2 linked regions of the Anolis sagrei genome follow. The protein of the gene in region 1 interacts with the protein of each later gene in a biochemical or structural test. Links are inferred from orthologs where the notes say so. Each region holds a gene or a part of one and is shown on either strand. Other genes may lie near its edges. The genes, in order: EYA2 and homeobox protein SIX1-like.

Region 1 (7,968 bases):
ATTTATAATTAATCTACAATCAAAGAACATTTTGAAATCCACCAACAATTGGATTGAACTGAACCAAACTTGACACACAGAACTCCCATGACCAACAGAACATACTGGAAGGGTTTGGTGGGCACTGACCTTGAGTTTTGGAGTAGTTCACCTACATCTAGAGTGTACTGTGCACTCAGATGAGTCCATAGTGCTCTCTGGATGTAGGTGAACTATAACTCCAAAACTCAAGGTCAATGTGTCTGGATCAGACTTGGCATGAGTACTAGGCCACTCTCAGTCCCATGTCGCACGGGGTTTTTCCTCCCTGCCATGACGGGACTTGATGGCATGAACCTCACTCCAGCCTTTCATGCTCTACCTTGCCCGCACATGCACACCACGCTGCCATGCGCCGACCATGCCTGCTCTCCCCTCCCTGCTTGGAGTCTCAGAAACAGCCCTCCCCTTAGCTGAGAAGCCAGCTGAGTGGCTGGCTAATCACCACAGGAAGAGGGCTTTTGGTGGGAGGATTCACTGTCTGTTTCCAAAAAGGAAGAGAAGGACAGGCGAGAGACCTTCAGCCTTCTCTGCCAAAGGGGTTTCTAAGACCATCAGAAATATGTGTTTTCTGGTGGTCTTTGGCAACCCCTCTGACAGCCTCCTCACAACCCCCTTAGGGGTCCTGACCCCCAGGTTGAGAAACGCTGCTTTAGAAGAAAGAAGTGAAACTAATTTCTTCTGTAGCTTTAAAATTCCAGTCTTCTTTTTGGCAGGCTGTCTCCTTGTCTTGCCTTCTGTCTTGTTTCCTTGTCTGTTAAAATTCACACAACCTTTTCTTGGTGCTCCTTTGGAACAGACAATTTTACTCTGGAACATAAAACAGCAAAAAGTCATTCTATTAAAACAAAACTGACACTTCTTGTTTATTCCCTAATTTTACTGCTATGATTACAATTCCATGTTTTGAAAGATTATTTTTTTCTTATTCTCCCCCCCCCCCCTCCCTCTTTTTCCTTCTTATGATGTTGTGGGATTTGGCTTACTCAAGGCTTGAGAGAATTGGAATCTATCTGCTTTCCCTGAGGCCTGTGTGCACAGCATTAACAAAGGAGTTATCAAATCCAAAAATCTGATGGGGCTTTAAAAGTTTGGTCATGTCAGCAGTAGACAGTTAGTACTCAGGAGTATAAACAGTCTGTGGAACTGTGCCCGCAGAGTCACCTTGGGAAAAAAAATCATTTTGCAGCTTTTGAAAAATTGTCAGCTTTGCAAAATAAGCATTAACTCGAGTTACAGGTTGGTTTGGGAGCAATGCCAAGAAGAGGGGTGAAAGAAAAATCATCATAACTAAACAGCTTCTAGGGGTTGTATATCAGATCTAGGTGCATCTACAATATAGCATTAATGCAGTTTGATACCACTTTAACCACCATAGCTCAATGCTATGAAATCCAGGGATCTTTAGATTGGTGAGGTATCAGCTCACTGTTTACCAGAGAAGGTTATAGACATTATAAAACTACAATTCCCATTAGTCCCTAACATTGAGCCATGGTAGTTAAATAGTGTTAACCTCCATTAATTCTACAATGTAGATGTATCCCAAGTCACACTATGTCAGGGGTCCTCAAACTAAGGCCCGAGGGCCGGATGTGGCTCTCCAAGGTCATTTACCGGCCCTCGCTCAGGGTCAACCTAAGTCTGAAATGACTTGAAAGCACATAATAACAATACTATCTCATCAGCCAAAAGCAGGCCCACACTTCCCATTGAAATACTAATACATTATTATTTGTTAAAATTGTTCTTCATTTTAATTATTGTATTGTTTTTAAGTGTTTTTTGCATTACAAATAAAATATGTGCAGTGTGCATAGGAATTCATTCATTATTTTTTTTCAAATTATAATCCGGCCCTCAAACAGTTTGAGGGACTGTGACCTGGCCCTCTGTTTAAAAAGTTTGAGGACCCCTTCACTATGTGGTAAATGTGTTTTATCAATAAGATTTTGATTTCTCTTTCTTGAACCTGTATTTAGTTGGAAACTTAGGCCCCTTCCACACATTGAACTGGATTATATAGCAGTGTGGATTCGGATAATCTAGTTCAAAACAGATATTGTAGATTATCAGTCTTGATATTATGGGTTATATGGCTGTGTAGAAAAGCCCTACATCAAAAGTACACCCAGACTGAGGGCCCTTCCACACAGCCCTATATCCCAGAACATCAAGGCAGAAAATGTCACAATATCTGCATTGAACTGGGATATCTGAGTCCACACTCAGATAATGTGGAATTTTCTACTTTAATATTCTGGGATATAGGGCTGTATGGAAGGGTCCCGTTTTATCTGAGTCCACACTTAGATCATGTGGGATTTCATGCCTTGATGTTCTGGGATATAGGGCTGTGTGGAAGGGCCCTTGGGGATTTGCAATTGGAAAAGAGAACAGACAATACATGGGTTGGAGCTCAATGTGAATCAGCCATGATTATATAAAAGAGCCGAGAACCATACAAAGAAGTTAGATTAAGCTGAGCAAGAGTGATTGGCCTAAGTCTCCCAGGGCTCTTCTATGGCCCTTCCACACAACTATTTATTTATTTATTTCGGGCATTTATATCCTGTCCTTCTCACCTCTGAAGAGGGACTCGGGACAGCTTACAATAGGCAACCATCAGGTGCCAACACAGTACATTAGAAATCACAGACACAATTAAACACAATTTAAAAAACAATTATAAAACATTCAATTTAAAAACAGTTCACCGGTTCAAATCATAGTCCAGGTCAATCCATTGCAGTCACTAAAACATTTCCTTTCCTGTTATTCCATCTATTGTTCAAAGGCTTGACCCAGAATATCAAGGCCCCAAATCCCACAATATCTGCTTCTAATTGGGTTAACTGAGTCCACACTGCCATATATTCCAGTTCAAAGCGGATAATGTAGGTTTTTGTTAAGATGTGTGAAAGGCCCTACACTGTCATTATATCCTAGGATCTGATCCCAGGCTTTCTGCTTATCCCAGATTATCTGACAGTGGGGACTCATATAATCCAGTTTTAAGCAGAACACCTGGGATCAGATCCTGGAGTGTAGGGCTAGGGCCTGTCTGGAAAAGCCCTCAGATAGCTTAATGCCTGACTGTTAATTTGAAGCTGGGTCTCAGCAATTTCAGTTTAGCATTCTGAACCCTAAATCAGTCAAGTAATGCAAAAAACAAAACAAAAACAAAACAAAAAAACCCCTAAATAAGAGAAACCTCTGGCCACCTGAAACATCATTTCTGGTTATCACCTGGCATAAGAGGAGTGAAAATGATAATCAGCATATGCCTACCCTTTGTGTAGATCAGTATTTTCCAAACATTAGTTCTCTGGCAGTTTTGGACTTCAATTCCCAGAAGACCCAGTCAGCTTGGCCAACTGTCAGGAATTCTAGGAACTGAAGTCCAAAACATCTGGAAGACCAGAGTTGGGACACACTGCTGTAGATCAACAAAGAACAAGTTTGCACCATTATCTTAGTGACAACCTTTGAAATGTCAGAACATAACTATAACATAACCTGGCATTAATCTCTGTTCCACATAACCAACTCCTAAGGAAACACATTTTTCAGACCCTTTGTCATCCTTCAGTCAATTTTTGTCTTAACCTGAACTGGACGCAGTACCCAAACGTAGGCTTGATCAAAACAGAATTGAATTGTGACATTAATTCTTGTGGACATTATATTCCTGTTTGTGCAACTCAGAATTGAGTTTGCCATTTTAGCTGCCACATTGCATTGCTGACTCATGTTTAGCTTGCGGTTAAGCATTATTCATTCGTAAAGGAATCTCCCATTTGGTGGTGTTTTTGTTTTTGTGGAAGAGGAATTTAGTGAATTCAGGAGGAAAAAACCCATATTGAACTGGAACATTTTTGTAAAACAAAAACATGTTTCTTTTTATGCTGCTTTGCGGCCTGCTTAAAAGGGCATTCTCCAAATAATCTTGCTGGAGCATTTCTGGTAAATTGCTGCAATTGTTTAGAAGAAAGAAACAAATACATATACTGTGTGATTCTTGCCATTTTTGTGGAGGGAGGGATAAGAAGATTGGATGAGGTTTGTTGGCTAAGTGATTGCAAACAAACCGTGCCAAAAGGAGAAAAGTACGAACATTATTATGCCTCTGATTTCCTATTTCCTTAATACGTGTTGACATGCAAGATGATTAAGCAGACCTTTATTATAATCTCATGAATATTGCGAGGTTAAGTTCCTCTGAGTTCACTTGGGCTTTCTAAGGAAGTGCACATAGGACAGCCTGGGGGTATTTCCGCTTCTGCAGAAGTCTTGGATGATCTTTGACTCTCTAGATATCATGGAACAATGTCCATAATCCACTGCCATGAATCATACTAGGTAAGTCTGCTGGGATTGAAGTCCATGGCCTCTGAAGAGCCAGGAACTCACTAACCCTGATTTGCCTTTTTTGTTAAGCATAGTCCCTAGCATAGTAAGAGTCACAGCGGCATCAAAAACTGGTGAATTGCATGATTGGTCTATTGAGTGAAGCATGAAACATAGTATTTTGGAACTGAAGACTTAAGAGTTGGCATTTTGGCACACAAAGTTTGAGATATTTTTGCAAAGAAATGCAGTATATAAGCTATTGTATATGTAAGACTGTGAATATGAGGTTTTTAAAATGCTTAGCTTGGCTTCCTTTCCCTTCAAAATTTCTGTGGTAAAATAAATCTGTTCCTTATTTGAAATGCTATGGTCACCTTTCATCAGTGACAAAGAACGTTGCATAAACAGAAGGAATTGTTCCAAATTCATATATGGAATTTGGATTAGCTTGCATTTATTTTACAATCTAGATGTTAAAAGCACTGCCTGATATTGGCCTAATTAATGTGTGACCATAATCAATAGGCAGATTCATCTGTGTTTTCAGCTTTTGGAGTCAAAAAGCAATTAATGTATTCAAGAAGATTCTGGATAATCAGAAGCTTCAATGCATCGAAGAGTACTATCTCCTACTTATATTGTGTTTGTGGTATTGCTGTGTCCCTAGAAAAATCTCTCATTTATTGTACTGTTTTCATTGGAATTTATATTCCATTAAATTTATATTGATGTTATTTATCTCTTCTTTTGATTTGTCCTGTTGTTCATTATGGTATTGAATGTTTGCCACTTGTGTTCTGGAAACCGCCCTGAGTCCCCTTGAGAAGATAGAGCAGGTTACAAATAAAGTTGTTGCTGTTGTTGTTGTTGTTAATCATCATCAACATCATCATTTTGTTTTAACTTACGTTGTGAGCAACCTTGAATTGCTTGTCAGGGAAGAGTGGATTACAAACAAAATAAAATAAATTGCTATCTTTGGATAGGCTTTTGAAACATAACCCTGCAACTTGCTTTAGCAGAGGGGAAAATGTGACAGATCTACACATTACGAAGAGATGTCTTTTTCAAACTACCCTCAGGTTCTGAAAAAGAAAACCTTCCCAGCCTAAATTGCGGAGCTCCCCCTTCCAGTAGGCAAAGAGATGATCACTTAAGATAGCAAAGACAGCACCAAAAGAGAGAGCTGAGCACTAAGCAGCTTGCCTTGTGACCTCCTAAATGTGCCAGGTTTGGTGGAGGAGGTCATTCCATCTCAGTAGAAAATTCTTCATTCATGTTCTTCTTGACAAAAACAACGGGTAATCTTGGTAATTTTTCCTCCTATGAGAAGGTCTTTGAAAACCATGCAGTTTTTGACATTTACTCAAGATTCAAAACTTCTGTGAAAAAACTTGTGTGTGGCTGTTTTGCCCATAAATATATAATGAATAATATTTTCTGCACAGAAAATGTTTTACAGTATGTACAAATCAACTATGTGTGAATTTTATGTAGAATGAGTCCCCAATTGTAAAGATTCTCATTAGTCCAGGATTCTTCTCATTAAGGTTTTTCATCACTCAAAAACATGTTTTTGACAATTTTTCAGTGGGCTTTTCCAGTTTGGATAGGCACAATCTTGTCCTTCATCTCACACAGTAAAATGTCATCAGCCAGCTGTGCTAAATTTAATAACATTAATGTGGCATAAAGTAGGGAAGGAAATGGGCCATTACACATTTAACTGAAGGTGGAGTTTGCAGTTATTAAATATTATACCTTTAAAAAATATTTGTATAAATGTTACCTAATTCAGCTTGTCTTCCGCTATAGCAGAACCCATTGGCATGCAATTATCTAGTATAGCAAACATCCTAAAATATCTCTTCAGCTGTTGTGGAGTGATTTGTGTGCTGTAATGTGGGGACGTATTTCTACCCTTGAGCACTGTGGGTTTTTTTAAAGATCAGGGTGGGCAACGCCATCCAGTCTAAGGGGCAAGTTTTCATTTCCAGGACCTGTTAAAAGGTAGATGAGAGCTGAAAACAACACATCTAGTTTCATTTCATGATTTCATTCCCACCCTCTCTCTCAACCTCTTTCTTCTCCACTTTCCTCTCCACATTAGAATAGGAATCGTAATAACCTGCAGGCCATGTGCATTCATTAGTGGAGAAGGGCCCTATGTGGAAATCAAGGGACACTGCGTAAGCAGATTGTTTTATATTCGGCTGATAGGGGATCCATCTCTTTGTGGCCTTGGTCTCTTTGGATACATCAAGATTCCGCTTGTTGAGAAAGAGTTGATTTCTACAGAGTTAGTCTTGTCCTATTTTCATCCTCAGCCCAATTCCAAAATGACAGGAATTAATTTCCAATTGGCAGAAATGTCACTTCCAGTTGTCACCAACCCTTCGGATACAGAGAAGGACAAAACAGATGTATGGATGAATGGATCTTGGATTACTGAATCAGAACAAAATTTCATCTATACATGTTTATATATGTTAGCATGGTTTCTTTTGAGGTTCTAGAATAGCCAGAAGACATGAATGTCTCAGTGCTTGTCCAATCGCATGTTGAGTAGAGATATTTCGAAGACATAGGGCTGACTAACATAGGGAAAACATAGATTCTGTAAATATTTTCTCCTGAGGCACCATTTGGTTGTTTTATTTATGGTATCAGAAGTGAACCCAATGTATAGTTGTAATGTATTTTTAAAAACACAGTTTAAAAACTTGGCATTATACTCAATGTCCTTTGACCAGTAGCTGGCCACTTGGAGTGCCCCCGGTGTTGCTATAAGAAGGTCCTCCATTGTGCATGTGGCAGGGCTCAGACTGTATTGTAATAGGTAGTTTGTGGTTTGATCTTCTCTGTACTCACATGTTGTGAACTCCACTTTGTAGCCCCATTTTTTAAGGTTGGCTCTGCATTTCATGGTCCTAGAGTGCAATCTGTTTAGCACCTTCCAAGTCACCAGGTCTTCTGTGTACCCAGGGGAGAGTCTCTCATTCGGAATTAGCCATGGCATGGGTTTTAGCCTGCCACTTTTGGACTCTTGCTTTCTGAGGTGTTCCTGTGAGTATCTCTGTAGATCTTAGAAAACTATTTCTTGATTAAAGGTGTTGGCATGCTGGCTGATATCTGAACAGGGGATGGGCCAGAAATGTCGCTGCCTTGGTCCTTTCATTATTAACTGCTACTTCCTGGCGAATGTCAGGTGGTGCAATACTGGCTACACAGTATAATTTCTCCAATGGTGTAGGGTGTAGATATCCTGTGATAATGCGGCATGTTTCATTAAGAGCCGCATCTACTGTTTTAGTGTAGTGAGATGTATTCCACATTGGACACACTGGCCATTTGGTCACTTTGAATGTCTTCTGCAAGGACAGTATTTTCAAACAGTCTCTATGAAAGTAAAACTGATTAATGAATTGATAGGTTTGCTACATTTTTTTCTCATAGAGATCATTTGTCAACAATTGCTGCAGAACAGGTTGAAATTCTGCAAATGAAGCAGTCTCCAGGCATAGTGACAAGAGTATATGTGTTGATTTTTGGCTGTTCTCCTGGAACAGTTAAATT
Region 2 (7,820 bases), on another chromosome or scaffold:
GGAAGGAAGGAAGGAAGGAAGGAAGGAAGGAGAGAAAGAAAGAAAGAAAGAAAGAAAGGGAAGGAAGGAAGGAAGGAAGGAAGGAAGGAGAGAAAGAAAGAAAGAAAGGGAAGGAAGGAAGGAAGGAAGGAAGGAAGGAAGGAAGGAAGGAAGGAGAGAAAGAAAGGGAAGGAAGGAATGAAGGGAGGGAGGAAGGAAGGAAGGAAGGAAGGAAGGAAGGAAGGAAGGAGGGAGGGAGGGAAGGAGGGAAGGAGGGAAGGAGGGAAGGAAGGAAGGAGAGAAAGAAAGAAAGAAAGAAAGAAAGGGAAGGAAGGAAGGAGGGACGGAAGGAAGGAAGGAAGGAAGGAAGGAAGGAAGGAAGGAAGGAAGGAAGGAGGGAGGGAGAGAAGGAAGGAAGGAAGGAAGGAAGGAAGGAAGGAGAGAAAGAAAGAAAGGGAAGGAAGGAGGGAGAGAAGGAAGGAAGGAAGGAGAGAAAGAAAGAAAGAAAGAAAGAAAGAAAGGGAAGGAAGGAAGGAGGGAAGGAAGGAGAGAAAGAAAGAAGAGAAAGAGGGAGGGAAGGTTGGTCATAGCAAAGTGTGGCAAGTACAGCTAGTGTGTGTGTGTGTGTGTGTGTGTGTGTGTGTGTGTGTAGGGACAGCCTTATTCTGGAGCTTCTTGGGGAATAATAAATAATGGCTGCTTGCAATCTATGTTATGCATTGAAATGAAGGATATTAGAGGCCTAGAGGACACTTCCAGGCACACATTCTGCTTCTAAGGCCCTTCCAGACAGACCCTATACCCCAGGATCTAATCCCAGGTTTTCTGTTTATCCCAGATTATCTGGCAGTGCAGACTGATATAATCCAGTTAAACAGAAAACCTGGTATCAGATCCTGGGATATAGGGCCTGTCTGGAAGTGCCCTAAGAGTCCTCATGTTTAAAGATGTTTTTAATGGTAATGGATAGGAAAAGTCATTAGCCCTCCCACTGCAAGGACCTTTGAGTTGGCCATATTGAATGAACACAACCTCCCTTGCATTTAGAAAGCCATTTCTGCTATTCCCTGGTGGTCATCCATCCAGGTTCTTAACCAGGCCAGACCCAAACCAGGCTAGGTTTCCAGATGATAATAAATAAAGGAGACAGGGGAGGTAACCACACTCTTGATCCCCTTCAGGCCCGAGTTAAATATGCCCCTTTAATTATATCGCCAGGCAGACTATTCATCTGGGCCATGATTTATTCATCCCCAGCATTAAGGTAATGAAATATGAGCTCACCAGGAGCAAACAGGTCTGAAAAAGGAAGGAGATGGAGAGAGAGAAGAGGGAGCCAAGGGGGGCATCTCCACTGGAGAATGGATGCAGTTTGACACCACTTGAAGAGTCATAGCTCCATTCTGTGCAATCCTGGGAGAAGAAGTTCTAAGACAGGGGCCTACTTGGGCTCTCCAGGTGTTTGGACTCCAACTCCCACAATTCCCAACAGCCTCAGGCCCTTTCCTTTCCCCCCTCAGCCGCTTAAGCGGCTGAGAGGGGAAAGGAAAGGGCCTCAGGCTGTTGGGAATTGTGGGAGTTGGAGTCCCAAACACCTGGAGAGCCCAAGTTGGCCCATGCCTGTTCCATCAGGCCTGTAGCCTTTTCTGCCAGAGTGCCTGGGCCTCATCAAACTATAACTCCCATGATTCTGTAGCATGGAGCTATCAAAGTTAAAGTGGGGTCAAAATGCATCAATTCTACAGTGCAGATGCACCTGCAGTGTGGTCACTGATGTTCCAGGGTAATTTCCTGCTGTGCCTTTCTGAAAAATTGATTGTTGTGTTTGCTATCAGTGATGGCCTAGCTTCTGCCCTAGCTTCTAGCTTCTAGCTCTAGCTTCTGCCAACCTAGCAGTTCGAAAACATGCAAATGTGAGTAGATCAATAGGTACCGCTCCGGCGGGAAGGTAACGGTGCTCCATGCAGTCATGCCGGCCACATGACCTTGGAGGTGTCTATGGACAACGCTGGCTCTTCGGCTTAGAAATGGAGATGAGCACCACACCCCAGAGTCAGACATGACTGGACTTAATGTCAGGGGACTACCTTTACTTTTTATCAGTGATGGAGAGAGATAGGCAGAGAGAAAGACATTGTCACAAGTGGGGGAAGTGGCTTTTTTTGGACAGACAGCTCTCACAATCCCCCAAACAATGAGCTCTGAGTTTAGAAGAGTGGCCTTTGGGGACAAACACTCCTTCGACCATCCAAAACAGAGCTTGGGAAGCTGGCTTTTTGAAGAGACACCTCACAGAATCCCCTCTGACAGATATTTTTGGAATGGTCATAGAATAGAATCATAGAGTTGGCAGAGACCTCATGGGCCATCCAGTCCAACCCCCTGCCAAGAAGCAGGAAAATTGCATTCAAAGCACCCCTGACAGATTGCCATTTAGCCTCTGTTTGAAAACCTCCAAAGAAGGAGCCTCCACCACACTCCAGGGCAGGGAGTTCCACTGCTGAACAGCTCTCACAGTCAGGAAGTTCTTCCTAATGTTCAGATAGAATCTCCTTTCTTGTAGTTTGAAACAATTGCTCCATTGCGTCCTAGTCTCCAGGGCAGCAGAAAACAAGCTTTTCCCCTCCTCCCTATGCTTTCCTCTCACATATTTATACATGGCTATCATGCCTCCTCTCAGCCTTCTCTTCTTCAGGCTAAACATGACCAGCTCTTTAAGCCGCTCCTCATAGGGCTTGTTCTCCATACCCTTGATCATTTTAGTCGCCCTCCTTTGGACACATTCCAGCTTGTCAATTTCTCTCTTCACTTGTGGTCATCCCAAAGCCTTAACTGACTGGAATATATTTGTGGGAGTTGTCCTCAATTTAGGGGAATTGGTGGGATTCTGGGAGTGGTCATCCCAAAAACTGGGGGAAATTCTAAGAGCTTTGTCGAGGGCTTTCACTGGGTTGTTGTAAGTTTATTGTCGAAGGCTTTCATGGCTGGAATCACTAGGTTCTTGTGGGTTTTTTCGGGCTATAGGGCCATGCTCTAGAGGCATTTCTCCTGACGTTTCGCCTGCATCTATGGCAAGCATCCTCAGAGGTAGTGAGGTCTGTTGGAACTAGGACAATGGGTTTATATATCTGTGGAATGGCTGGGGTGGGGCAAAGAGCTCTTCTCTGCTGGAGCTAGGTGAGAATGTTTCAACTGACCGCCTTCATTAGCATTTGAAGGCCTGGCTGAGCCTGGGAAAATCTTTTGTTGAGAAGTGTTAAGATGTTATAAGTTTTTCCGGCTGTATAGCCGCGTTCCAGAAGCATTCTCTCCTGACCTTTCACCTGCATCTATGGCAGGCATCCTCAGAGGTAGTGAGGTCTGTTGGAATTAGGACAATGGGTTTATATATCTGTGGAATGGCTGGGGTGGGGCAAAGAGCTCTTCTCTGCTGGAGCTAGGTGTGAATGTTTCAAGTGACCACCTTCATTAGCATTTGAAGGCCTGGCTGAGCCTGGGAAAATCTTTTGTTGAGAGGTGTTAAGATGTTGTAAGTTTTTCCGGCTGTATAGCCGCGTTCCAGAAGCATTCTCTCCTGACCTTTCACCTGCATCTATGGCAGGCATCGTCAGACGTTGTGAGAATGCCTGTCATAGATGCAGGCGAAATGTCAGGAGATAATGCTTCTGGAACGTGGCCATACAGCCCCCAAAAGTTTCAACAACACACTCTAAGAGGGATTTGTGTATCTGTCGGATTGTGGGAGTTGCTGTGTATCTGTCGGATTGTGGGAGTTGCCCCAAAAGCTTAGCTGGCGAGAGGGGATTGTGGGAGTTGTTGTTCCAAAAGGTGACGTTGCCAAGCTCTCCTTCTCGCCTTCTTTCCTTTCCTTCCTCACCCCAAGCCACAGCTTCGTCCCTGACCACTGCCCAGCCAGTCTGCTGCCTGTCTGCCTGCCTCCTTCTGCGCCTGCGCCCTCCTCGCCTGCCTGGCTTTGGCTGGGGCTGCTTGGCTTGGCTTTCTGTCTGTCCGGCCCTGGAGCGCCTGGCCCTCCTCCTCCCTATAGGCGCCGGCGGCAGCCAATCAGCGAGCGCCCTGAGGCGGGGAACCAGGGGGAGGGTGGGGGCGCCTTTAAGCCCGGCTCTGGCAAGACCAGCAACCTACAAAAAACATAAAAGTTTCCTCCGGTAGAAGAAGGGACCTCTCCGGCGGCATCTCTTTTCCTGGCGGCTGCTGCTGTCGGAAGAGAAGACCTCTCCTTGTTGGCCCTTCGCTCGGGGGCACACTCTTCCCCCCCGAAGAAGGAGGAGAAGGAGAAAGGGAAGGAGAAGGAGAAGAGGAAGGAGGAGAAGGAGAGAGAGAAGGAGAAAGAGAAGAGGAAGGAAGAGAAAGAGAGAGAGAAGGAGAAGGAGGAGAAGGCTACTTTTTGTCGGTCTCCAAAGTCCCTTCTCCTCTGAAGAAGCAGCCTTGGGAATCTTCTTTCTCTCGGTCTCCAAGATCCCTTCTCCTCTGAAGAAGCAGTCTTTGGAAGCTGCTTTCCCTCGGTCTCCAAGATCCCTTCTCGTCTGAAGAAGCAGCCTTGGGAATCTTCTTTCTCTCGGTCTCCAAGATCCCTTCTCCTCTGAAGAAGCAGTCTTTGGAAGCTGCTTTCTCTCCGTCTCCAAAATCCCTTCTCCTCTGTAGAAGCAGTCTTTGGAGGCTGCTTTCTCTCGGTCTCCAAGATCCCTTCTCCTCTGAAGAAACAGCCTTGGGAATTTTCTTTCTCTCGGTCTCCAAGATCCCTTCTCCAAACTGGTCTTTCTCCAGCCTTGGGAAGCTCCTTCTTCTCGCTCTTTGGAGAGGGAACATCTCCGAGGAGAGCGCCCAGCCCCAGCCCTGGATTCTGGGCTTCATCTTGGCCCTTTCTCCTCTCCAAGAGGGTCTTTCTCCTCGGAGGAAGCCTTGGGAACTAAGCTGCCCTCTCTGAAACTAGAAGAGAGTTGCGAGACCTCTTTGGAAACTGGCCCTTGCAAAGGGAAACCTCCGCCGGGAGAGAGCGCGACAGCAACCCGGGTTTGGAGGCTGCTTTACATTTCTCTTTCTGTCTGAACTGGCTTTTCTCCTCTTTCCAAACTGGCCTTTCTTTCTCCTGTGAAGAAGAAGCCTTGGGAAGCGCCTTCCCTTCGCCTCCACGGGTGCCACAAAATCCTTTTCGGGAAGGAATCCGAGTCCCCGAGTTGAGAGCTTCATTCACTCCAGCCCGGCGTGGGGAACTTTCGCCTTTCTGAACGGATCTTTCTGCTCTGAAGAAGTCTGGAGAAGCCGCCAAGTACTTCCAGAGATTCCAGACCTTTTCCTGTAACTAACCTCCGGAAAACGGCTGTCTCCAGATCTCCGAGGGTGCCGCCAGACCCCTTCCCAACCCGGTCTTTGGGAAGGAAACACCCGCGAGGAGAGCGCATGAGGGCAGCTTCGCGCTCCGAACTTGAGCTCGGCTTCATCGTGGGACTTTCGCCTTCCCGAGCGTATATTTCCCCTTGGAAAGAAGCCTTGGGAAGCTGCTTTCTGTGTGGAAGAAACCTTGGGAAACCGCTTTCCCAAAGGCGCTTTCCAAACTGATCCCAAGGAGAGCGCACAGCCCGGCATTTGGGGCTCGGACTTTGGAAAGAGAGGTGCCCAAGGAGAGCGCACAGCTCGCGCTTGGGACTCCCCAAACTCAATTTTCTCCTTGGAAGAAAGCCCTGGAAAGCTGAGTCTAGGAAAGATCCCTTTCCAAACTGATCCTTTTCTCCTCTGAAGAAGACTTGGGACTCTTGTTTCTCGGGGTGTCCCTTTCCAAGGTGGTTTTGGGGGAGAGAAGAAGACTCGAGGAGGAGCGCGCAGGGCTGAGCTGGGACCCCTTGCTCGGCTTGGCGAGGCCTTCCTCCCGTCCAGTCCCTCTTCCTCTTCCTCCTCTTCCTCTTCCTTCCCGGGGGCCATGTCCCTGCTGCCCTCCTTCGGCTTCACCCAGGAGCAAGTGGCCTGCGTCTGCGAGGTGCTGCAGCAAGGCGGCAACCTGGAGCGCCTGGGCCGCTTCCTCTGGTCGCTCCCGGCCTGCGACCACCTGCACAAGAACGAGAGCGTCCTCAAGGCCAAGGCCGTGGTGGCCTTCCACCGGGGCAACTTCCGAGAGCTCTACAAGATCCTGGAGAGCCACCAGTTCTCGGCCCACAACCACCCCAAGCTCCAGCAGCTCTGGCTCAAGGCGCACTACGTGGAGGCCGAGAAGCTGCGCGGGAGGCCGCTGGGCGCCGTGGGCAAGTACCGCGTCCGGAGGAAGTTTCCGCTCCCGCGAACCATCTGGGACGGCGAGGAGACCAGCTACTGCTTCAAGGAGAAGTCCCGCGGGGTCCTGCGCGAGTGGTACGCCCACAACCCCTACCCTTCGCCCCGAGAGAAGCGAGAGCTGGCCGAGGCCACCGGCCTGACCACCACCCAGGTCAGCAACTGGTTCAAGAACCGGCGGCAGCGCGACCGGGCCGCGGAGGCCAAGGAGAGGTGGGTGCCACACATCAGTCACTCTTTCTGCAAGGAGGTCAGCTTGGGGAAGGGACCTTGGGGGACCACGAGGCCCAGAATCCTCTCCAGACCGCGAAGCTGTTTGGGGGGATTCTGGACCTTGTGGTCCCCCAAGGTCCCTTCTCCAAGTTCCAGCCTCCTTCCTCGAGCTCCAAGCTCCCTAAGCTCCAGCGTACTTCTCCAAACTCCAAGCTTTTGAAACTCCAGACTATTTCCCCAAGCTCCAGTTTGCTCCCCAAGCTCAGGGCTCCCCAAGCTCCAGCCTATTTCCGCAAGCTCCAAGTTCCCCAAGCTTCAGCTTATTTCCCCAAGCTCCAAGCTCCCCAAGATCCAGCCTAATTCCCCAAGCTCCAAATTCCCCAAGCTCCAGCTTACTTCTCCAAGCTCCCTAAGCTCCAGCATAGTTCTCCAAACTCCAAACTTTTGAAGCTCCAGACTATTTCCCCAAGCTCCAGCTTACTCCCCAAGCTCCAAGCTCCCCAAGATCCAGCCTAATTCCCCAAGCTCCAAGTTCCCCAAGCTCCAGCTTACTTCTCCAAGCTCCCTAAGCTCCAGCATAGTTCTCCAAACTCCAAGCCTTTGAAGCTCCAGGCTATTTCCCCAAGCTCCAAGCTCCCCAAACTCCAGCCTATTTATCCAAGCTCCAAGTCCCCCAAGCTTCAGCCTACTTCCCCAAGCTCCAAGTTCCCCAAGCTCCAGCTTATTTCTCCAAGCTCCCCAAGATCCAGCCTACTTCCCCAAGCTCAAAGTTCCCCAAGCTCCAGCTTACTTCCCCAAACTCCAAGCTTCCCAAGCTCCATCCTACTTCCCCAAGCTCCAAGTTCCCCCAAGCTCCAGCCTATTTATCCAAGTTCCAAGTTTCCCAACCTCCAAGCTCCCCAAGCTCCATCCTACTTCCCCAAGCTCGAAGCTCCCCAAGCTCCAGCCTATTTATCCAAACTCCAAGCTCCCCAAGCTCCAGCCTACTTCCCCAAGCTCCAAGATCCTCAAGCTCCATCTTCCCCAAACTCCAAGCTTCCCAAGCTCCAGCCTACTTCCCCAAGTTCCAGTCTACTCCAGCCAATTGTTTGGATCCCCTTAAATTGTCTTTGGGGATGTTCTGGGCCTTGTCACTTCCTCAAGCTCTGAGAGAAACTACCTCGCTGAGGCAGAGTCTTCTGGCACTGGTCTTCCTAAAAAGGTCCTATGAAAACTTAAATTGGCTGATAAGAATGCATGGACTTGTTCCAAAACTCAAACAGTTAGGGAGGGGAAAGATTCTAAGATTTGTCATTCCAAAAAGACACTTCTCCAAATTTCCAACTACACTGTCAGATAAAATCCAG

Evidence for each region.
Region 2: the proteins of EYA2 (region 1) and homeobox protein SIX1-like form a complex in vitro, tested with the Homo sapiens proteins (2 studies listed by IntAct, with this or other methods). The link is inferred for Anolis sagrei from reciprocal best matches to the Homo sapiens genes EYA2 and SIX1.

The regions. Positions count from the first base shown.
Region 1 is NC_090024.1:219,245,676-219,253,643, forward strand, and holds the start of EYA2 (eyes absent homolog 2), read left to right. Parts: upstream 1-4,339; 5' UTR 4,340-4,387; coding exon 4,388-4,401; intron 4,402-7,968. UniProt on the Homo sapiens protein: Functions both as protein phosphatase and as transcriptional coactivator for SIX1, and probably also for SIX2, SIX4 and SIX5.
Region 2 is NC_090021.1:332,794,812-332,802,631, forward strand, and holds the start of homeobox protein SIX1-like, read left to right. Parts: upstream 1-4,103; 5' UTR 4,104-5,914; coding exon 5,915-6,474; intron 6,475-7,820. UniProt on the Homo sapiens protein: Transcription factor that is involved in the regulation of cell proliferation, apoptosis and embryonic development. Plays an important role in the development of several organs, including kidney, muscle and inner ear.